Ovis aries: one gene and its partner. Each later gene encodes a partner of the first gene's protein in a complex. Links are inferred from orthologs where the notes say so. Each region holds a gene or a part of one and is shown in the gene's direction. Other genes may lie near its edges.

What was found.
Region 2: the proteins of DNAJB1 (region 1) and NUDC are in contact, whole or in part, in a crystal structure (PDB 7NDX), measured with the Homo sapiens proteins. The link is inferred for Ovis aries from reciprocal best matches to the Homo sapiens genes DNAJB1 and NUDC. Residues at the interface, in NP_006136.1 of Homo sapiens: His166, Lys181, Lys182, Met183, Lys184, Ile185, Ser186, Asp201, Lys202, Ile203, Ile235, Phe237; in NP_006591.1 of Homo sapiens: Pro102, Gln103, Ile104, Lys105, Glu106, Leu107, Ala112, Leu115, Gln116, Ile119.

What each region holds. Positions count from the first base shown.
Region 1 is NC_056058.1:9,585,954-9,598,252, forward strand, and holds DNAJB1 (dnaJ homolog subfamily B member 1), read left to right. Parts: upstream 1-4,345; 5' UTR 4,346-4,393; coding exon 4,394-4,604; intron 4,605-5,726; coding exon 5,727-6,307; intron 6,308-6,605; coding exon 6,606-6,836; 3' UTR 6,837-8,015; downstream 8,016-12,299. Other genes in the region: small EDRK-rich factor 1-like, read left to right, coding at 1,916-1,999, 2,166-2,230, 2,403-2,613. UniProt on the Homo sapiens protein: Interacts with HSP70 and can stimulate its ATPase activity. Stimulates the association between HSC70 and HIP. Negatively regulates heat shock-induced HSF1 transcriptional activity during the attenuation and recovery phase period of the heat shock response.
Region 2 is NC_056055.1:239,998,299-240,008,593, reverse strand, and holds the end of NUDC (nuclear migration protein nudC), read left to right. Parts: intron 1-3,416; coding exon 3,417-3,620; intron 3,621-3,710; coding exon 3,711-3,776; intron 3,777-4,495; coding exon 4,496-4,615; intron 4,616-4,688; coding exon 4,689-4,883; intron 4,884-6,136; coding exon 6,137-6,220; intron 6,221-6,313; coding exon 6,314-6,432; intron 6,433-6,858; coding exon 6,859-6,910; 3' UTR 6,911-7,135; downstream 7,136-10,295. UniProt on the Homo sapiens protein: Plays a role in neurogenesis and neuronal migration. Necessary for correct formation of mitotic spindles and chromosome separation during mitosis. Necessary for cytokinesis and cell proliferation.

The sequences.
Region 1 (12,299 bases):
GATCACATGGGCAGTAAATAAGCAAACAGCAGGTCCAGGTTCTCAACTAAGGCTGACTGACTCCAGACTGACCTGCTTAGTTCTTATATTCTTAGTTCTTAGTTCTACTAATGAAACGGAAGCAATAGGATATATGTGTTTGTGAGTGTGTCTGTGTATTAAGAGACTTGTTTCAGGCATTGGCTCTCACAATTGTGAGGGCTGGCAAGGCAAGTGTGAAATCTGTAGGGCAGACCAGCAGGTCTTGGCCAGGAACTAATGCTTCATTCTCAGGCAAACCTCCATATTTGCTTTTAAGGTCTTTCAGTGTTTGCTTTTAAAGCCTTTCAAGTGACTGAATGAGGTCTACCCACAAAATCAAGGGTCATCTCCTGTACTTAAAGCCAACTGATTATAGATGTTAACCTAACCACATCTGCAAAACACCTTCACAGCAGCACTTAGATTAGTGTTTAGCTGAATAACTGGGTACTACTGCCTAGCCAAGTCTATGCATATAACTACCCATCACATTGTCTCCTGTTCTCTGAGTTGATAGCTCAAACCTCTGCTAAGTTTCTGTGAAAATCACTCTTCTAGTAACATTCCAACGTACCTGGTGAGGGAATTCCCTGGAAGTCCAGTGGCGAGGACTCTGCACTTTCATTGCCCAGGGTGCAGGCTCAATCCCTGGTTGGGGAACTAAGATTCCACAAGCCACTCAGCCTGGCTGGGAAACAAAAAAAAAAACAGTGCCCTGTGAGTATGTGTCCAGGTCAAAGAACATAATAAGAGCAGTTGAGTTACGGCTCTTCTTTTTTGGGGGGGTGGGGAGGGCGGAGCTTAAACAGTTAAAACCTCCTGAATATGACCCAGGCTTACTCAAGGAAGGGAGATTTCCCAGCCCTAAGGTTGCCCCCAAACACAAGGACACCCCTTGCACGATGTTGCTGGTCTACCAGAGCTATGTGAAGACCTTTAGAGGCCTCCACATCTGTTAACATTTTTTTTAGGGTGGGTTTATAAGTGGCATGTGGGATCTTAGTTCCCCGACTAGGGATCAAACCCACACCCCCTGCAGTGGAAGCAGGGAGCCTTAACCACTGGACCGCCAGAAAAGTCCCCACATCTGTAACTCCCTTGTTTTTTTTTAATTTTCGGCCACACAGCATGTGGGATCTTAGTTCCCTGACCAAGTACTGAACCCATTCACCCTGCATTAGAAGCAGAATCCTAACCACTGGACTGCCAAGGAAGTCCCCACATCTGTAACCCTTAAATTTATATGTGTGAAGAAATCCAGAAGCTCTGGGTTTTTCCCCCCATGATGACTCTCCCACTATCTCTTTATGTAACTTTATAAAAAAAAATCGGACTCCCTCTCCTCCATGATTGGTTCAGGACCCCTACAGTGCTGTGCCCTTGGGTATCCAGCCTAGACTCATCCTCCCATGTTGGCTGGTGTGTGTGGCTTAGTCCAGAGTCCTTTGATGGTGGTGGTTTAATCGCTAAGTTCTGTCTGACTGTTTTCGACCCCATGGACTGTAGCCCACCAGGATCCTCTGTCCATAGGATTTTCCAAGCAAGAGTACTGGAGTGGGTTGCCATTCCCTTCTCCAGGAGATTTTCCTGACCCAGGGATCGAACCCAGTTCTCCTGCACTGCAGGCAGATTCTTTACCAACTGAGCTACCAGGGAATCCCTTACTGACAGAGTTACACTGGGGTCAGGGAGTGGCCAGGGATGGCCGTAAGGCCATGGCGTCTTTCTCAAGAGTTCCAGCTTCCACAAGGGCAGTGGTTACCAGAAATGTTTTGCTGTGGTCCTGCCAGGAAGGGGGATCCTCAGCAGCCCACCATTCAACCAGTTAGTCACCCCTTTTACAGAACTTCCTCTAAGCTAGGTCTGTCCCAGGCACTTGACAAATGTTGACTCAATGTCAACTTCAAAGCCCTATAAGGCTGGTACAACTACTACCCTCATTGTACAGATGAGGAAGCTAAAGGCCCTGGAAGGCTCAGTAACCAGCCCAAGATCACACAGCCAGAAAGTGCTGGAACCAAGAATGAAACGTGACTATCTGGCTCCAGCACCAGTGTCACACCACCCAGACTTCCCAAGCAGTTCTTCCAAGAACCTTTCCCCTCTGTAGGCCACCTCCACCTACTCCCCTCTTCCCTTTTCAGGTGGTGCCTCTTTCTGAGCCTCCTTTCCGCGTCAGCCCTGTCCTTGACCACAGACACCCCAGACTGTAGGAGCCAAAATGGATGATGTTGCCCAGAGATGAAGATATTGAGGCCCTGAGAGGTGTATTGCATGCCCATGTCTCCCCCACATCATGAAGGCAGTGGGGTGGGGGTAAAGAACCAGATGCATTAAAAACCGCCAGGACTTTTTAGTCCGCAGAGGGAGAGGGGCAATTGAGTCTGGCCCCGCCTGAAAGGTCGGGCAGGTGGAAATCAACGAGAACTTCCTTGCCAGAAAAACATGAAGAAATCCCAGGAAACTAATAAAGGAAAAAGAAAAGAGGATAGCCTGACTACCTCTCAGAGGAAGCAGCGGGACTCTGAGATCATGCAACAAAAGCAGAAGGCAGCCAATGATAAGAAGTCTATGCAAACAAGAGAGAAATAATGACTATCTGGAAACCAGGGTGCTGCTGCAAACTAAGTGTATCATAAGCTCTATGATCAAGATTTTGTAGAGTGAACAGTCAGTACATGTTATATCCGTACAAAACTATTTTAAACTTTTCCTTTCAACCTGACTTAGCGTGATGTTTCAGAACCATTTCAAAGAATAAAACACTAACCATGCATATGAAAATAAATAAATAAAAATAAAAACAGCCAGGAATATTTACGAAGCTTTGGTTCCAGACACTTCCTGGCACTGGAGACTCAGCACTGACAGGACCCAGTCCCTGACTTTACGGTGATTCCAGGCTAGGAGCGGAGGAGACATTTAACATGAAAACCAAGGAACAATTTCAGATTTCAGTGGTGGGTGTCCTTGAGAAAACGGTAAAATGAGAGGCTTGAAGGGCTGGACTGAGAAGACGTCTGCAGGGAGGTGAACTTTGGCTCCCGGTGCTCACCTCGCTTTGCAGGGTCCTTTATGATTGAGGACGCAGATAGTACTGGAGCTCCCACCTGCATTCTGCTCGCAAAGAGTTGGATATGACTGAGCATGCACACACAGCTGGTAGAACAGGGCGGGTGACTATTTTTATTTCCAGAAGGAAGCGGGTGTCGGGCTGGGGAAAATTAGGCAACTCACACCGCCCAGAGACACCTGGCAGGAACTCATTCCTGGCCCTGTGAGATAGGGGCGGGCATATTTGCATCTGCTAGTGAAGGGGCTAATAGATGGGGAAACAATGGAAACAGTGAGAGACTTTATTTTCTTGGTCTCTAAAGATCACTACAAATGGTGACGGCAGCCATGAAATTAAAAGACGCTTGCTCCTTGGAAAAAAAGCTATGACCAACCTAGACAGCACATTAAAAAGCAGACACATTACTTTGCCAACAAAGGTCCATCTATTCAAAACTATGGTTTTTCCAATAGTCATGTATGGATGTGAGAGTTGGACCATAAAGTTGAGCACAGAAGAACTGATGCTTTTGAACTGTGGTGTTGGAGAAAACTCGAGACTCCCTTGGACTGCAAGATCAAACCAGTCAATCCTAAAAAAAATCAGTCCTGAATATTCACCGGAAGGACTGATACTGAAGCTCAAGCTCCAATACTTTGGCCACCTGATGCGAAGAACTGACCACTGGAAAAGACCCTGATGCTGGGAAAGATTGAAGGCAGGAGGAGATGGGGACAACGGAGAATGAGATGGTTGGATGGCATCAACCACTCGTTGGGACGTGAGTTAGAGCAAGCTTTGGGAGTTGGTGATGGACAGGGAAAGCTGGCGTGCTGCAGTGAGGTCACACAGAGTGGGACACGAATGAGAGGCTGAACTGAACTGTGACGGGGTGGTGTCTTCCCCAGATCCGCCCCTTCCTACAGTAGCGCGTCGTAACCTATTGACCCAGACAGGAGGCGGGCCGCAAGGCCTGCCTGGCTGCAGGAAGCAATAAAACCTGGGTCGCTATTGGTGCCCGCGGAGGGTGGGCGGGGCCTCCGCCGCCCGGGGCGCGCGCCGCTGAGAAGCGTTGCCCAGGATGGGGCAGGGCCGCGCGCAGGAGGCCGTTGGCGGCGCGGCCCCGCCCCGGATGTCGCGCGTCGCAGCCTGGACGACGGGGATTGGCCAAAGCCGCGTGAGGGGCGGGGCGGAAGGTTCTGGAGGGGGCTGGCGGGCTCTGGAAGCTTCCGCCGGACGGGTATATAGAGTCCGGGACGGGGCGGTGGCGGAGCCGGGGGACGGCGACAGCTGGGTGGCGGGCCGCAGGCGGGGGCAATGGGAAAGGACTATTACCAGACGCTGGGCCTGGCCCGCGGTGCGTCGGACGAGGAGATCAAGAGGGCCTACCGCCGTCAGGCGCTGCGTTACCACCCGGACAAGAACAAGGAGCCCGGCGCTGAGGAGAAGTTCAAGGAGATCGCCGAGGCCTACGACGTGCTCAGCGACCCGCGCAAGCGCGAGATCTTCGACCGCTACGGGGAGGAAGGTGCGTGCGCGCGCGCAGCCGGGGGCGCGCCCTCGCCGTTTGACAGGCGGAGAAACCGAGGCAGGGTGGCCTCGCTGCAGCATCTCCGGGGGGTGCTCGGCCGCAGGGGTTGAAGCAGCCCCGGCCCTCTGGCCACAAGGGCCTCCGCCCTCGGATTGGCGGCCGCCCGATGGGAGGAGGGGCCCTGGCCGCGCTGCTTGTTCAGAAGCTTCTAGTATGTCTGGGGCTGCCCCTCCCTGGGCTCTCGCCTCCACCCACGTCCGGGGGTGCGGGTGCAGAAAGAGAGGGTTCGGAGACCTAGCTTGGCTGCTGGCGCTGCGGGCCTGGGCTCACCTGTGCGAGGTGGGAGGCTCTGCCACCCCGGGGTTCAGGGCAGGACCTCTGGCTGAGCCCTGGGCACAGGCTGCGAGTAGTGAGCCTGCAAATGAGGTGCCAATTGGCGCCGAGCGACCTCCCGCGCCTCCGAGGGTGGAGTGAGGTAATCCTTGTAAAGTGCTTACCTAGTCGGCCGTCAAGGTGCAGGGAACAGTGGGGCCAGCCCTCTTCAGGGAAAAAGAAAGCTTTCTTGTCCCGTCTCCCATTGATGACTCAGGCAGGTTGCTGGGCTTGGTCCTCAGGAAGAAGTGGCTAATTACATGAGAATGGGGGCAGTTAGTGCCAGGGTGTGAGAATTTGAAAGTCTGCATTTGCAGTTTCACGTTCCTTTTACTACTCTCCACACGTCTCTAGCTGTAGGGAATTTAAGAGTAAGCATTTAGTGAAAACTGATCCGGGGTAAGCATTTTTCATTGGATCTCTTAGTTTTCCGTACTCATTGTAACAGTGCAAGGGAAATGAGTTACTCAGATGTGAGGACCTGGGTGGCCCCAAGAGATGCCCATCTGAAACCTTGAACACTTCACCATTGTCTTGCCACAGTGGACTAACTGCCATAAGTGGGTGGGGGTTCTGTTTTGCTGCTGCAAGTGGGAGGTAAAAGCTTGGAGTTCTTCCTTGTTCTTCCCTGACAGGCTAAAAAAAATTCCTCCCCCAATGGCTCCTAAGCTTTTTTCCTTGAAGGAAAGTTCCTGGAGAGTTAAGTTCCTAGCTCGCCATCTGATTTCTTCTGCTTTGGCGTTTCAGGCCTGAAGGGCAGTGGTCCCAGCGGCGGGAGCAGCGGTGGTACTAACGGTACCTCCTTCAGTTACACATTCCATGGAGACCCTCATGCCATGTTTGCTGAGTTCTTCGGTGGCCGAAATCCCTTTGACAACTTTTTTGGGCAGCGCAACGGGGAGGAAGGCATGGACATCGATGACCCGTTCTCTGGCTTCCCCATGGGCATGGGTGGCTTCACCAACATGAACTTTGGCCGCTCCCGCCCTGCCCAAGAGCCCACCCGAAAGAAACAAGATCCCCCCGTCACCCATGACCTTAGGGTCTCACTTGAAGAGATCTACAGCGGCTGTACCAAGAAAATGAAAATCTCTCATAAGCGGCTGAACCCCGACGGAAAGAGCATTCGCAATGAAGACAAAATCTTGACCATCGAAGTGAAGCGGGGGTGGAAAGAAGGGACCAAAATCACCTTCCCCAAGGAAGGAGACCAGACTTCAAACAACATTCCAGCCGATATTGTCTTTGTTTTAAAGGACAAGCCACACAATATCTTTAAGAGAGATGGCTCTGATGTCATTTATCCAGCCAGGATCAGCCTTCGGGAGGTAAGGCACTAGGCAGGGCAGCATCTGGGGAGAGAGAAGCTGCTTTGTGATGCTGTTCAGTGTTTGCTTGACAGATGTTTCTGGGCACTTGGTGCGGCCAGGCTTGGACAGTGCAATGGCGACAAGACTGTCCAGGGCTCTGTTTTTCCAGAGCTTCTGTGCTGGTGACGTGGGTAGATCTTAAGGCAGGGTCTTAGCTGCAGAGGTCTGATGGTGCTTACCCTCCAGTCAGCAGCCTCTGGGCAAGATGTGAGCTCCTTAAGCTACTCTTTCTAATGCTGTCCCTTTGCTTTCCAAGGCTCTGTGTGGCTGTACAGTGAATGTCCCCACTCTGGACGGCAGGACCATACCCGTTGTGTTCAAAGATGTCATCAGGCCTGGCATGCGGCGAAAAGTTCCCGGAGAAGGCCTCCCTCTCCCGAAAACGCCCGAGAAACGCGGGGACCTCATTATTGAGTTTGAAGTGATCTTCCCTGAAAGGATTCCCCAGACGTCAAGAACCGTTCTTGAGCAGGTTCTTCCGATATAGTCAATCCGTGTTCCCCAAGGACTGACCAGGGACCTTTCCAGAGCTCAAGGATTTCCTGACCGTTCCACCAGCTGTGGACCCGTGAGAGGGCGGGAGGGCCCAGGGAGGGCTTTCATACTGCTGAATGTTTTCCAGAGAATATATTACAATCTTTCAAAGTCGTGCACTAGACTAAAGTTGTTTTTCGAGCGGTAGGGCGGCAGGTGGTGGGGACAGCAGGCAAAGGCAGTGCAGTCTGCCCCACTGGGTCCTTGCAGCCCTCCTGGGTGGGCAGCACCCCCCTCCTCCCTCTCCAGGCCCTGCCCAGGGGGAGAGGCAGACCGCGGACCCACAGCTGGACTTGATCCCCCTATTGTAGTCCCTCCGCTTGCAGACATCCTGGGGTGTGGACCTGCGTTTATGGGTACCAGACCCTGTACACTCCTGAGTTTCTATTGTGTGATCAGTTCGTGTTTTATTCTGTATTTGTCTCCCCCATCTTGCCCTTCCCCTAAGAAACCCCGTCTTCTCTTTTGCCATCTCAAATTGAGAATCTCAACTCTGGTTGTTGAACTGCCTGGCCAGCTCCCACAAGCAATACCTCCCTTGTTCCAGCAGGACCAAGGGAGCCGGCCTTCACTGAGTGAGTAACTTGTGCAGCTGCCTCTCCCTCAAGGGTGGGGGACCTTGGCTGGAGTCTTGACCCCAGGCTCCCAGACAGAGATCTTCACCTTCCTTTGCTGTGAGGCAATCTATTGGCACACCTGGGATTTCCCCGTGACCCAGGTCATTTTTTTTGTTCAATGGACTCTGGACTCTCTCAAAAGGATCTGATCCTTTTGAATTTTGCACAGCCCTAGCTATAATCCCTTTTGATAAAAGGGTCTTTGCTTCTGATTACAGGAGCACTGTGGAACGCCTGTAAATATGTTTTTATAATTCTGTGTAAAGTTGGTGTGCAGTCAGACGAAACCGGTCCACAGCAGCTGCTGCTCTCTGTAAAGGGCCATGATGGAACTGAGAAAGAACCTGGTGGGGGTGGGGGGCGGGGGGGTGTTGGAACAAGTGTTTGTTCCTTGCAGGTCAGTCTGGTGCTCAGACTTTTAGACTCATTGTAAGTTGCCACTGCCAACACAAGACCAAAGCGTGTGACTTGTCAATGTGCAGCGTGACAGCATTAAAGACTGATGCTAAACCTCAGGGGAGCGGTCCTGCGACTCTGTTTAAGGGTTCTGCTGATGGGATGGGGTGGGGTCGGGGCAGCCCTCCAGAGGCAGCCAGGGTGGGTGGGAGGGAGGGGCAGGCAGGAGGTAGGAGTCCTCTGCAAGGGAGAGAAGTTGCCCTCCTGAGCTAAATATGGGGTGAACAAGAGAAAGCCGCCGGACTGGATCTGGGCATCAGAAGAGCCCAGTGGATTCAGAGCTTGTTTTTTGGTGAAGGTTGGGGCCAAAGTTAAACAGATCCTTTCCCAGTCTTGCAAGATCTGGTTGCTGGGGCCAAGAAGTGTGTGCCCTACTCTCTTAATCTCCACCCACCCCCCCCCCCCCCCCCCCAACCCCTGCTTTCTTGCTAGAACAAGCTGGTGTCAGGCAGGCCCTGGCCAAACCAGATTAGGATTCCAACCCAGGGCCACCCCACCCTGGTTAGGACCTATTTCCTGCCCTCCCTCTATTTGCAGGCCACTGAAACTGCTTTTACTTTGTAACTTTTTTTAAGGAACTAGTTTTATTATAAGGTAAGTAATTACACAGGCCAAAAACTGCATTGCTATTTTGCTACAAGATATCTGGTGTAGAAACTTAAATAACCATATTTAACATAACCTTAGAGGGCTTTCCCTTCCCACTGAAACAGTTTAACCACTGGAAGCAATCTAAGGGTAGTGCTGTCCCAGAGAACCTTCTTCAGCGATGGAAATGTTCTTTTTAAAACAAATTCTTTAAGATTCAACAGAACAAAGTTGCTTGGTAGCTACAGGTACGTTTCAAGTGCTCAGCACCCGCCCCTGGTGGCTAGCAGTGATTATTGGACAGCACAGATCTTAGAGGGCTTTCCACCCAAACCTAAGCCATGGGTCTCTTAGAGGAGTAGCTGCTTCGAGCCCAGAGAGGCCATCCTCATTCGGAGGTGACCCCTGGAGTATTAGAGCCAAGAGGGACCCTATCACCACTTCCAGGATGAGGAATGATATTTATTGCAGAATTGGCCCTGGCCTCAACTGGGGTCACAGACCCCCTTGCGCTGCCATCCACCTGCCCCAGCCTTCCTCATTAACATAGCTGGTCTGTATAGGGTTCTTATCCAAGGGCTGTGGGCACAGATGTGCACAAAGCTTCAGTGTGTCACACGCAATCCTGGTAACTTGGAGAAATAACCTTCCTGTGGTAGTGGATGGGACAGTGCCACTCTTCAGGAAAAGGACAAGGACCCTAGTAAACAGGCCTGTCCCTCGGATGCACAGCCTTGGCCCACACTGGACCTGGCTGCACGTGTGTGTCAGGTGTTCGGTTTGTCTGCAAGCTGGCTTCTCCCCTTGCTCCCTTAGCTTCCCTGTAAAGAATTTATTCTCCCACGATGTCTATCCTGGCCACATTTTGGAGTTTGCTCCTTCCACAACAGTGTGAGGGGAGCTGCCTCTGTTTTGCACCCACCTCGTGGGGTCGCAAAGAGCTGGACACGACTGAGTGACTAAGCACAGTATCTTTATCCATCACACCAGGAGTACTGCATTTTTCCCTGATTCAAACAGTAGAAAACAAAAATTCACATTCGGCCTGTGGTGAGTAGTCAAGTTCCCTCCTTCCTCAGGACCACTGTAGACAAGCCATGGCATTAGAAATTTTAATTTTGTGCAGCCTCCTAAAGTCAATCTGCTTATATAAGCATAAACATAATTTGTAAATTTTCAGTTTTGATTTTTGGCTATGTAATCACAGTACTGAATTTGTAAGGGCATATAGAGTTAAAAATTCTTCCCATGCTGCTTTCAGGTCCACTGCCAGAGAAATTTTCCCAGTTTTCTCCTGTGCCTTTCCTTCTGTAATGTTGCATGAAGACATTGTTCTTTTTTTACACAAATGGTACATACTGTACGCTCTGTGCCCCCCCCATCCCCCCCACCTTTTTTTCCCTCTCACATATGCAAATAGCTTGTCTTCTGTTTTTCCATATGTTGATTCTACCAGACACGTGCAGGTGGGTGTGAAGATCTAGTTTCACGTTTGGAGGCTCCTATCTCTCCTCTATCATTGCTCCTGCTTCCAGGTTTGAATCGCAACTCAACCACTTTGTAGCTGTGGGACCTTGAGCAAGTGACACGACTTCTCTGTGCCTCAGTTTTTTCAACTGTAGAAGAAGCACAAAAATCACACTTCTACGGTTGTGAGGATTTTCAGGTATAGATACATAGAAGCACACAACAGAGCCTGACACAGAACAAGTGCTGTGTGTCAGTTACTGTACCCTAATGGGAAAATGTTCCTCAGCCCACTCCAAAGAAACCTCTGAGGTGTGTCGTGTCCACGGTCTTTTGGGTCTGTACTCTTGGCTAAGCTCCAGGAACCAAATCCCCAGGCAAGCCCCTGAGACCCACAACTCCACCCTGGCCTTCATCTCACTTGAGAAGGCTCACTCCAGGAATTCTCTGCTGGCCCAGTGGTTTGGGCTCTGTGGTCGCACTGCCAAGGACCTGGGTTCAATACCTGTTCAGAACTAAAATGCCACAAGCCATGCAATGCAGCCAAAAGGAAAAAGCAGGCTCACTCCCATGCTGTTTGGTCACAACCTGCTCACTTGACACCAGCAGTGGAACATCAGGCCCTAGGACTGAGCAGAGTGGGTTTGAGTCCCAGCTCTGTCAGTCAGCTGCTGTGTGTGTTCTTGGGCAAGTGACTTCGCTTCTCTGAGTCTCAGTGGTCACCTTTGAAAACGGCTACTGAAGTTACAGACTTCATAGAGGTATTATGAAAACTGGGCAAGGTAGGGCACTGGGAAGGCAAAAGAACATGGCCTTAAGAACTTGGTTTCCTGGGACATCCTGGTAATCTAGTGGCTAAGACTGAACTCCCAATTGAGGGGGCCTGGGTTCCATCCCTGGTCAGGGAACTAGATCCCACATGTGACAAGACCAGGTGCAGACAAATAAATATTTAAACAAAGAACTTGGCTTCTGAACGGTGACCGTGCTGAGTTCAAGTTCTGCTCACTGCATTCCCCTGGACAAATGAGAAACCTCTCAGCCACTGTTTCCTCTTATGTGAGACAAGACTAAGCATAGCCACTCCCACCTTCTCACAACCCTAGGGCCGCAACTTAGACAGCTAACCCCTGAGAATTTGACACAGGCCCAGCACAGGACAATTGTGAATTAACAGGAGGAAATACTAAGGAACTTTGGGAAAAATTTGCCCCAGGTCTCCTTAAATATTGGTTATTCTCATTAGCTGTTAATTATTGAAAAACACAGTATAATGCCTGATACATAATAAGCATTGTCCATTCAATAAACATTTATTGAATGCCTCCAGTGTGTCCAGTCCTGTTCTTTTTTTATTATTTTTTATTTTTGGCCACACCCTGAGGCATGTGGGACCTCATTACCCCAACTGGGGATTGAACCTGCACCCCCTGCAGTGGGAGGTGGATTCCCAACCACTGGACCACTAGGGAAGTCCCTGTCCAGTCCTGCTCCTGATGCTGAGGAGACAGTATTAGACAAAACTGGCAAAAACTACTGCCTTTGCAGAGCTGACAGTCATGTGGGATGACAAAGAATAAAACCAAAAATAAATGGTGGTGCTAGTGGTAAAGAGGGCTTCCCTCGTGGCTCAGACAGTAAAGAATCTGCCTGCAGTGTGGGAGACCGGGGTTCGATCACTGGGTCAGGAAGATCCCCTCTAGGAGGAAATAGCAGCATACTCCAGTATTCTTGCCTGGGTAATCCCATGGATGGAGGAGCCTACTGGGCCATCCATGGGGTCGCGAAGAGTTGGACACGACTGAGCAGCAGCAGGGAGTGCTGGAGAAACATGGAACAAGCAGGTAGAGAGTGCTGTGCTGTGTGCTTAGTTGCTCAGTTGTGTCTGACTCTTTGTGACCCCATGGACTGCAGCCCACTAGGCTCCTCTGTCCATGGGTGCTGGGTGCAGCTTTAAGTGACACGGTCAGTGAATGCCTCACCCTGAAGGCAACATTTGAACAAAGAGTTGAAGGAAATAAGAGGAGAGCCACGTGAGTACTGAGGGAAGGACTTTCCAGGCAGAGGAGACAGCCTGTGCAAAGGCGCTGAAGCAGGAGCCTGAGTTTAAGGAACAGCCAGGGGACTCCCAATGCAGGGGGTCTGGGTTCCATCCCTGGTGAGGGAATTAGATCCCACATACCACGACAACAACAACAACAAAAGATCCCACATGCTGCGACTAAGATCCTGCACAGCCAAATAATTTTTATTTTTTCTAAAGGAACAGCCAGAAGTCCAATGAGGCT
Region 2 (10,295 bases), on another chromosome or scaffold:
TCACACTCGCTAGGATGGATTCTGTTGGAAACCCCCAGAAACACCAAGTGTTGGATAAGGTTGTAGAGAAACTGGGACTTGTGTGCACTACCAGTGGGAATTTAAAATAGTGCAGCTGCTGTGGAAACGGTATGGCAGTGCCTCAGAAAATTGAAAAACAGAGCTACCATGTGATCTAGCAATCCCATTACCCCCTGAAATCGGAGGCAAGATCTCTTTTTTTTTTTTAATTTTTGGCTGTGCTGGGTCTTAATTACTGTGTGGACTTTCCTCTCGTTCGGCGAGTGGGGGCTACTCTCTAGTTGTGGAGCATGGGCTTCTCGTGGTGGGGGCTTTTCTTTCTGCGGAGCGTGGTCTCTAGGACAAGTGGGCTTCAATAGTTGCAGCACGTGGGCTCAGTAATTGCAGTGCCTAGGCTCTGGCGCCCAGGCTCAGTGGTTGTGGTGCATGGCCTGAGTTGCTACGCAGCATGTGGGATCTTCTTGGATCAGGGGTCAAACCTGTGTCTCCTGCCTTGGCAGGTGGGTTCTTTACCACTGAGCCAGCAGGGAAGCCCTGGAAGCAGGATCTTGAAGAGAGATTTGCACACCCATAGCAGCACTGTTCAAAAGAGCCGAAAACTGGGAGCAGTCCAAGCATTCATTGATAGATGAATCAACAAAATGTCATATATCCATGTAGTATAATATTTGGGCTTCCCCGATGGCTCAGCAGGTAAAGAATCTGCAGGAGACACAGGAGATGCAGGTTCAATCCCTGGGTCAGGAAGATCCCCTGGAGGAGGAAGTGGCAACCCACTCCAGTGTTCCTGCCTGGAAAATTCCAAGGACAGAGGAGTCTGGCAGGCTACAGTCCATGGAGTTGCAGAGTCGGGCATGACTGAGCACACACATACATACATATTATTCAGCCTGCTAAAGGAAGACAGACAAGAGCACACACTGAGTTAGTCCATTTATATGAAGTTCTAGAACAGGAATGGGTCTTCTCCCTCAGACGTGTTCCCCCCACTCCATGGTCAGGTCCAGGACCTCGTGCCTTTGGGTTTAGCTTAAATATCTCAAGAGTCTTCCTTGGCCAGTCTGGTGGCACCCACTCTTTACTCTCCTGTCACCCACGCTAGGTCAGGGAAAGCTGTGTTCAGGTATGCCCACCGAACACTCTGGGGGCCTCCCAGCCCTCCTCACCCATTCCTCACTCTGCTGGGCTCTGGTTCCCAAAGACATGTCCAGTGACAGAAGCTTGACTCTGACAGCCTGCCAGTTGGCACCCTGAGTAATCTCGTGGGGGTCTCTGCCTGGGCCTGGGCCCGGGTAAAGCCGGTGGGAGGAGACTGGGAGGAGGGGTCAGAGGCTGCTGTGACTGGCCTTGACTCTGCCTGGTGGTTCAGCTCTGCCCTCATCTGCCCTCCAGGAGCTGGGAAGGAACAGGACGAATGGGACGTGGTTCACTGGAGCTGGGAGAGGGGGCGGCCCGCTGCTGCCTCCCTTGGCCACTGGTTAGCAGATGGCCTGAGTTCAAGGTCTCCCTGATTAGAGTGGAACAGCCTCTGCTGGCGCAATTGGGCCATGACCAACCCCTTCTGTTGACAGCACAGTGGCCTTCAGGTGGCTCATTTCTTTCCTAGACACACCTCATTTTGTTAACCCATTTGGTTTCGGGGTGCCTTTGGTGCCCTTTAGCCTCGAAGAGTGTGGAGCTACTGTAATGTGGCATGAAGTTGGAGGTTTGAGGGTAACAGGAAGCATTGGCACCCAGTGAATGAAAGGCCGCAGGGCATTTGGCAGAACCCTAGGCCTAGGAGCCCATGGCTGACTTCGGTGACTCTGGCCCCACGTGGTTCCCCTCAACTCTTGCAGATCCATTTCCCTCTAGCTCTGGCTCAGAGATTCTTGAAAGATGGTTTGTTGACCACTGATCATGTGGCGCGTGTCCTGTGAGGGCTCCTCCAGGTGTGTGGGTTGACACAGAGTTGGGTTTCTTAAGTTGGGTAAATTCCTGAGTCTGGCAAAGGAGAAGAGGTGAAATTGAACAGACACTTGAGCTGGTCCTGGAGGATAAGAAGCTGTTTGTGAGGTGATCTGAGAGTAGAGGCAAGGATATTCTAGGCAAAGAACAGCTATGTAAGACTGCTTTTAGAAATAATACGATAGAAGCACAGAGAGATGACCTCAGGGTCGCGCAGGCAGAAGGAGTAGGCCAGGATCTCAGATGTAGGTGTGACTCAAGTATGCATGAGAATTGGCCAGGAGGGCCTGTCAAAAGTGCAAATTGCTGGGCCACACCCCTGGGATTTCTGATTCAGTAGGCCTGGAGTAGAGCCTGAGAGTCAGCATTTCTAACAAATTCTGGGTGATGCCAACATATTCTAGGGATCAGGGAACCACACTTCAGGAGTTTCTGATGTAAAACATGAGGTGTAAGCATTCTTCCGGTCATTATCTTCATAGCAGAGAAGGTGCTTCCCCACCAGTTGACCCTGGGTTAGCCTCCACCAGGCAGGGGGTGTTGGGCAGCCAGCAGTTTATGTGCAGTTGGTTTGTGGCTAGGACTGTGCCAATCTCTTGACAAGTGTCATGTGCAGTCTTCGTGACAGCCGATGAAACTGAGGCTTAGAAAGGTCAAAGTTGTTTCCTTGTCCAAGGCCACAGAGCCAGACCCTGTGGTAACAGTATTGGGGTCGCTTTTGGGCCACAGAGGCAGGCAGCTAGCACAAAGCAGGTTAGAAGCATCCTAGGAAGGCGTCGTGGGAGAGGATGGATTTGAAATTGATAGCTTACAGGCCGAGGGGAGGAAGACGCTGACCTTTTCCCTCCAGAACGCTCTTTCTGGCCTGAGAGCTGAGGAAAAGCTTCTCAGAGGGGCTGAGGCTGGAGTTCTCCTGACAGCTTCACTCTGCTATGAGGGACTTTCAAAGCACTTATCATTTGGTCTGCCCGACATTCCTGCGAGGTAGGGACTTACCCTCGCTGATAAGGGCTCTGAAGCTTCCCGGGGATCTTCCCATCCCAGGGATCAAACCTGCATCCCTTACAGTGGCAGGTGGATTGTTTAACCACTGAGCCACCAGGGAAGCCCATTAACACCATTAATAGGTTAAGGAATTTGCCAAAAATAAAATAGCTAGTGTGTGACAAAGCTGGATTAGAATGCAGGTTGTCTAACTTCAGTGTTGGCTCTTATTCCCTGGACTGCCTTTTTTTTTTTAAGTGATTGCTATTTATTGAAGCAGATACTTTGCAGGTATTCTCATTACAACTCAATGAGATAGATGTGTATTAAATCCCATTTTAAAGATGTGGAAACTGAGGTTCTAAGTGCAGTGCCTTGCCCAGGCACTCAGAGATGGGTCTGGCTTCATGTCTTGGAACGTGTCTTCTCCCTCGATGCCTCTTAGTCTTCTCTTCCTTCCTCAGCTTATCACACAGACCTTCAACCACCACAACCAGCTGGCACAGAAGGCCCGGCGGGAGAAGCGAGCTCGGCAGGAGACTGAGCGGCGGGAGAAGGCGGAGCGGGCAGCCAGGTTGGCCAAGGAGGCCAAGTCAGAGACCTCCGGGCCCCAGATCAAGGAACTGACTGATGAGGAGGCTGAGAGGCTACAGCTGGAAATTGACCAGGTAGGAATGGGCTTCCCTCCCCTGCCCCATGACCCCCATGGACACTAGAAGTGGGGCCCCTCTTGCCAGCTGTTTTCCCGTTTGCCACAGAAAAAGGATGCCGAGAATCAGGAGGCCCAGCTCAAGAATGGCAGTCTTGGCTCACCAGGGAAGCAGGTGAGATGGACTGGAGGGGTTTGGGAACTTCTGGAGCTCTTGACCCACTCCCTTTCTCTGGAAAGCCCACCCCACCGTTCCCTTAGCTTTGGGAATCCTCCTCATACTCCAGGATCCCACATTGGACCAAAGGGGGTTAAAAAAAAGACTCCAAAGCTCACTGGCTTAATTTAAGCCTTGGCAGGAAAGCCAGAGAGACAGAGATGGGCAGTGCTGCACGGACACCATGAGGGTGGGCTCGGGTCTGTGGTGGGTTTCTCTGACACGCCCAGGGCATGTTCTCCTCAGGGCTCCCCCTGCTCCCACGGAATCCTTGGGGACATTCCTTTAGCTCTTCAGAAGTTCTAGTCTGAGGCTGGGTCCCCACCTTCCGAACGAAGCTGACCATTTGGCAGGCTGGTTTTCCTTTAGAGCAGCTCTGCTGGCGGCCGCCTGCTGACCTGCTCTGGGCTGGGCTTCCTTCCAGGTCCCTTGGCTGGGTCCCCGGGGTCTGTCTCTGACTGCCGCCTCCCCTCAGCTGCCCCACACTCTCCCCATCTGAGCCCCTCTCAGCAGAGCCGGCAGAGAGCCAGACAGGTTTTACCTCTGCCTCGCAGTGGGCCGTGGGCTGTGCAGGGACCTGGTCTGCTGTGTTGTCTGTGGCTGTATGTGCCGTGCCAGCCAGTGGGGTTCAGTCTGGGTCTGTCAGGGAAGTAGCTGAGCTCCCCAATTGTGAGCAGGAGGCCGAGGAGGACGAGGAGGAGGAGGATGAGAAGGACAAAGGGAAACTGAAGCCCAACCTCGGCAATGGGGCGGACCTGCCCAGTTACCGCTGGACCCAGACCCTGTCGGAGCTGGATGTGAGTGTGGGGGCTGGGGCGGCAGGGAGGGCGCTGGCCTGGGGCGCCCCCTGACTGCTCCTGCCCTGTGCAGCTGGCCGTGCCCTTCCGCGTGAACTTCCGGCTGAAGGGGAAGGACGTGGTGGTGGACATCCAGCGGCGGCATCTCCGGGTGGGGCTCAAGGGACAGCCAGCGATCGTGGACGGGGAGCTCTACAACGAGGTGAAGGTGGAGGAGAGCTCGTGGCTCATCGAGGACGGCAAGGTGGTGACGGTGCATCTGGAGAAGGTGCGAAAGGCCCCGCCCTCTGTCCTGATTGGCTGTTTCTGAACTTGGGGGCCCTGCTGGGGGCCTGATGGGCATATCTTATTTCATCCCCACAATAAGACTTTGATAGTAGGTCTGCCACATTTTAGAATCAGAAAAAGGGCAGCCCAAGAGATCTGCCCAACTTCTGCCTCTAGAAGAGGGTGGAGTTAAAGATCCGGGTTGTCTTTAGTACCAAAGCCTTTTCCTTTCCCTTAGGTTTTTGTTGTTGTTCTACCAGCTTATTCGTACCAGCCCATCTCCCTCCACCCTCATGCATGCATGCTCAGTCATGTAACCCCATGGACTGCAGCCCGCCAGGTTCCTCTGTCCATGGACTTTTCCAGGCAAGAATACGGGGGTGGGTTGCCATTTCCTTCTCCAGGTCCATTAGGTTTTTTTCTGGTTTTTATTTTGGGTCTGAATTTTTATTATGGGTCTTAGTTGCCATGTGCGGGATCTTCCTTGTGGCATGTGGGATCTTTAGTTGCAGCACATTGGACCTAGTTCCCTGACTAGGGATCGAACCTGGGCCCCCTGCCTTGGGAGTTCAGAGTCTTAACCACTGGACCCACCAGGGAAGTCCCTCCATTAGGTTTGTATCAATACAAGCATTCAGTTCAGCAAATACTTGAACACCTACTCATGCCAGAGACTGTTCTAAGTGCTGGAGGGAAAACAGTGAACCAGACGTAGAAAGCTATGCCCCTCTGGAAGCCCGCGTTCTCCCCTCTCAGAGAACTGGGATGCAGACCCCAGTAAGTGAACATGGGCTCTGTGAAGCGCCAGGGTCCAAGGAAAGAGTCCCATGGCATGTACTGCCTGGCCCAGCCTACCTGACCCCCTTGGCTGCCTCTCACTCACCCCTCTGTGCCCTTGCCCTTGCATTTCCTCCCACCTGGAATGTCCTTCCCTGCTTTTTAACGTGGTTCACGCGTGTCGTTTAAGGCCCAGCCCTGTGTGTCATCCGAACCTCTCCCTCCACCTGATGAGTATCTCCCTCTGTACTTTATTCTTTCCGTTATCATGCTGACTGTCTCCGTGTCTGTCTCCCCCAGCCACCGGGGAGGGCAGAGGTCTTGCCTCTCTGCCCCTAGGTCCCAGTTCAGGCCTTGTAAGTCCCTGATGCAGGATGTGGCTGGGAGAGAGTTTGGTTCTGGAAGAGCTGGGGGGTGGTCACCAGGGTCCAGAGTGAGCCACCACCCGTCCCCGGGTGGCCCTCCTCTTCCTCTCAGATTAACAAGATGGAGTGGTGGAGCCGCTTGGTATCCAGTGACCCCGAGATCAATACTAAGAAGATAAACCCCGAGAACTCCAAGGTGAGCCCAGGCTGCTTGGAGGAGCTGCGGTCGGGAGGTTTGGGGCCTGGGTGGCCCCAGGCCTTCACCCACCCTGTCACTGTCTGCCCCCAGCTGTCAGACCTGGACAGTGAGACCCGTAGCATGGTGGAGAAGATGATGTACGACCAGAGACAGAAGTCTATGGGGCTGCCTACCTCCGATGAGCAGAAGAAACAGGAGATTCTGAAGAAGTGAGCGATGCAGAGATGGGGGTTTGGGGGAGGTGTCTACGGCTGGGACCTGGGTGACAGTGGCAAGTGTTTACTGAGCAGAACACAGGAGCTGCCCCGCCCCTTCCAGGATGAGCCAGCCAAGTTTATGGCTTTATAGCCTTGGCTTGCCTCCCCTAATCACTTACTGAGGTCATCTTGAGGGCAAGGCCACCACAGGATAGGAAAGGGTAACAGGCGGTCACAGTTTCCAACAGAAAAAGCAGTGCCGGTGTTGGCACCTCAGCATCCAGCCTTGGGGAGACCTTGGGGGCCCCACTCCTGTCTGGCATGGCTCCGGGTTGCTGAGAGCTGTAAACAGATGAGACCTCATGTTGGAGGCTGAGAGAAAGGGACAAATTTAGGGAGACGGATGGCCTGTCTCACCTTCCTGCTTTGTCTCTGCAGGTTCATGGATCAGCATCCAGAGATGGACTTTTCCAAGGCCAGATTCAACTAGCCCCTGTGTTTGCTCCCCTGAACTCTCTAGGCTGAGCTCCCGGCTCCCCACTTTCCTCTCCCACCCTCCCTGGGACTGGTGGGCCACAGGGCCAGGGCAGGCACGGGGCTGGCTGGCACACACAGGTCCCAGGCCATCATGGGAGAAGGGCTGGGGCCTTGGGGGGGGGTCTTGTCCTCCTCAGCTGGCCTGCTGTTACACATTAAAACCATTTACCCAATTCCACTCACGTCTTCTCTTCCCTCTGGCCTTTCTCTGGGGTTCAGGCCTCTTAGGACTGCTGCTGTGACCTGGGGGCTTGACTGCTCACCCAGGCTCTGCTGTGTGATCTAGGGCAAGTCTTTGCCTCTCCCTGGGCTCAGTTTCTCATTACTTAAATAGAGGATCCCGACAAGGCTTTTAGTCTGTGTATGATTTTGAACAAAAGGGGTTGGTTATAGGCACCAAACAATGTCAGATTCTCCAAGGGGCCCATGACTCAGCAGCACTTAAGACCAGCCTGACTTGATTTCCATTTTCATCTCTGAGACAATTTCCCACTGCACTGGGTCTGTCCTTTAGTCCTGGAGCAAGTGTTTCTAAAACTATACACTACTTCCCAGAGGCAGAGAGCAAGCAGCAAAGCCTAGGGGCACCGCCTAGGCCTCAGATGGGCTTTGTGTGTGGTGGGGATCTGGCTGGGAAGGCAGGGGGAAGCCCAAAGGAGCCTGTTGTGTGTCTTTGACCTGGACCCTTGCAGATTTTAGGGCTTCTCAGGAGTGAGCCACTGAGGCTGGAGAGGTGTTCTCTTTTGCCCCAGTCCAGCCACCAGAGCTGACCCTTGCCCCGCTTTGGCAGGAAGTACAGGTCACAGTGCAGAGTGCCATAGAGGTTATGGTAACAAGACGAATGGGTTCACTTGCCCAGGGTGCTATGCCCTATGAGCCACGGGTGACTCCTGAATTTCTGGGACACAGCGTATGTGTCCTTTTGGCATCTCAGAATAGCTTGTTAAAGACTTCAGCTATGCAGTATTTGGCTTTGTCTGTTTATCAAACTTACCCCTTTTTCTGGGAATGCCAGTAGTGGTTCCCAAGGCTGAGCTTAGATAATGGGGCTCAAAAAAACTTTGGCCCCAGAGGCCCATTTTCTAAGCTCTCAGATTGCTTCTTGGCAGGAAAGCTGTGACAAACCTAGACAGTGTATTAAGGAGCAGAGGCATCGCTTTGCTGACAAAGGTCTGTATACTCAAGGCCACGTTCTTTCCAGTAGTCATGTATGGATGTGAGAGGGGCACCATAACAAAGGCAGAGAACCAAACTTAGGTGCTGGAAACAACCCTTGAGAGGTCCCTTGGAAAGCAAGGAGATCAAAACAGTCAATCTTAAGGGAAATCAACCCTGAATATTCTCTGGAAGGACTGATGCTGAAGCTGCAATACGATGGCCAGCTGATGTAAACAGCTGACTCACTGGAAAAGACCCTGATGCTGGGAAAGATTGAGGGCAGGAGGAGAAGGGGACAACATGGATGGTGTCACCGATGCAATGGACATGAACTTGGGCAAACTGGGAGATGGTGAGGGACAGTGAGGCCTGTCGTGCTGCAGTCCGGGGAGGCAAACAGTCGGACACACTGAACAACAATAAGGGCCAAGGCTAAGGTGGAGGGGCTGTAGCATGACTCTGCTCTGTCCAGTGATATCCCTGGGCTCCAGTGCCCCACAGTCATTTTCCTCACCATTAAAAAAATTTTTTTTGGTGGCCACACTATGCAGCATGGCATGTGGAATCTTAGCTCCCTGATAGGAATTAACCCGTGCCCCTTGTAGTGAAAGTTGCTCTGTCATGTCTGACTCTGTGACCCCATGGACTGTAGCCCGTCAGGCTACTCTGTCCATGGAATTCTCCAGGCAAGAATACTGGAGTGGGTTGCCTTTCCCTTCTCCAGGGGATCTTCCTGACTCAGGGATTGAACCCTGGTCTTCCGCTTTGCAGATAGGTTCAGCCACCAGGGAAGCAGTGGAAGTGCAGAGTTCTAACTACTGGGCTGCCAGGGGATTCCTGGGCTGTGGTTATTTTCAATCACAGAGGGCCATGACCTGGATGGAACAGCAGAGCCTAAGGAGGGGGCAGCTGTGTCACCGGTACTGAGCCTGCGGTCATGGCCACAGGGACCATCCAGTGTGTCCAGTAGGAAACTGAACAGACACACAGTTTGTCTAGTCAGCTTCCAAGGGTGTCCCTGAGGATAGGAGAAAGGGTGGTGGGGGCGGCTGCAGGTGAAGTGGGGCAGAGAGGGGCCCCGGACACCTAGCTTTATCAGTGGGACTTGGCCATCGGGCCTGCTCTGGTCTCACTGAGGACAGACACACCCCTGTGTGTGAGGAGTGGCAGGAGCCTAAAGAATCCGCCTGCAATGCAGGAGACCCTGGTTTGATCCCTGGGCTGGGAAGATTCCCCTGGAGAAGGGATAGGCTACCCACTCCAGTATTCTTGGGTTTCCCTTGTGGCTCAGCTGGTAAAGAATTCGCCTGCAGTGTGGGAGACCTGGGTTCGATCCCTGGGTTGGGAAGATCTGAAGAAGGGAAAGGCTACCCACTCCAGTATTCTGGCCTGCCGAGGTCCCAAAGAGTCGGACACGACTGAGTGACTTTCACTTTTCTGAACCCAGCTGAGCACTGATGTCCATACAGGGGATCTGGCTTCTACCCCACGTGGGTCAGTTTGCCAGCTTGGGGGCAAAAGTGCCAAGAGGCCAGCTTCTGGGTACAGAGCCACAGTTACTAGTATGTGACCCTCTTAACTCCTTAATGCACCTGAGCCTCAGCTCCTGTGAAATAATGACCCCACCCTAAGAAGACACCAGGGATGCTCGGTGCTGTTGGCTCCAGGGAGAGACGGAGGGAGCCGCAGGCCTGAGGCGGGGTGGGTGGGGGCCGGGTTTGAGGAAGCTGCAAGGATGGCCAGAAGCGGCCACATGTGGGCAGTATATTGGGGCAAAAGGCTTGCCTAGACGGACCTCTCAACCATGACAGAAGCCACTTGATAAATCCTTCTAAGGTACAGACCCTGCACTTGTCTCGATCTGGAACTCAAGGTGAGGAGTCTGAGAGACGGGCCTTACCGCTCTCAGTTTAGCCTTCTGACCTCAACCCCACGATACTAAGCCAGGCTGGATGCTCTGCATGGTCTGCTCCAGACAGCAGTCAGGCAAATGCGACAGAAAGGACAGCATGACGGCCAAGATGAGCAGACATATCTATTAAGTTTGTACTATGGTCACGTTAGTATGTAGAACAACCAGCCAAGAACCTAACTGCTCAACAGAACATAACGTGGAGTGGGCACTGCCCACAGAGTTCCAGACAGAGGCCCTGCCTGCCCTCAAACCCAATACATGTAAG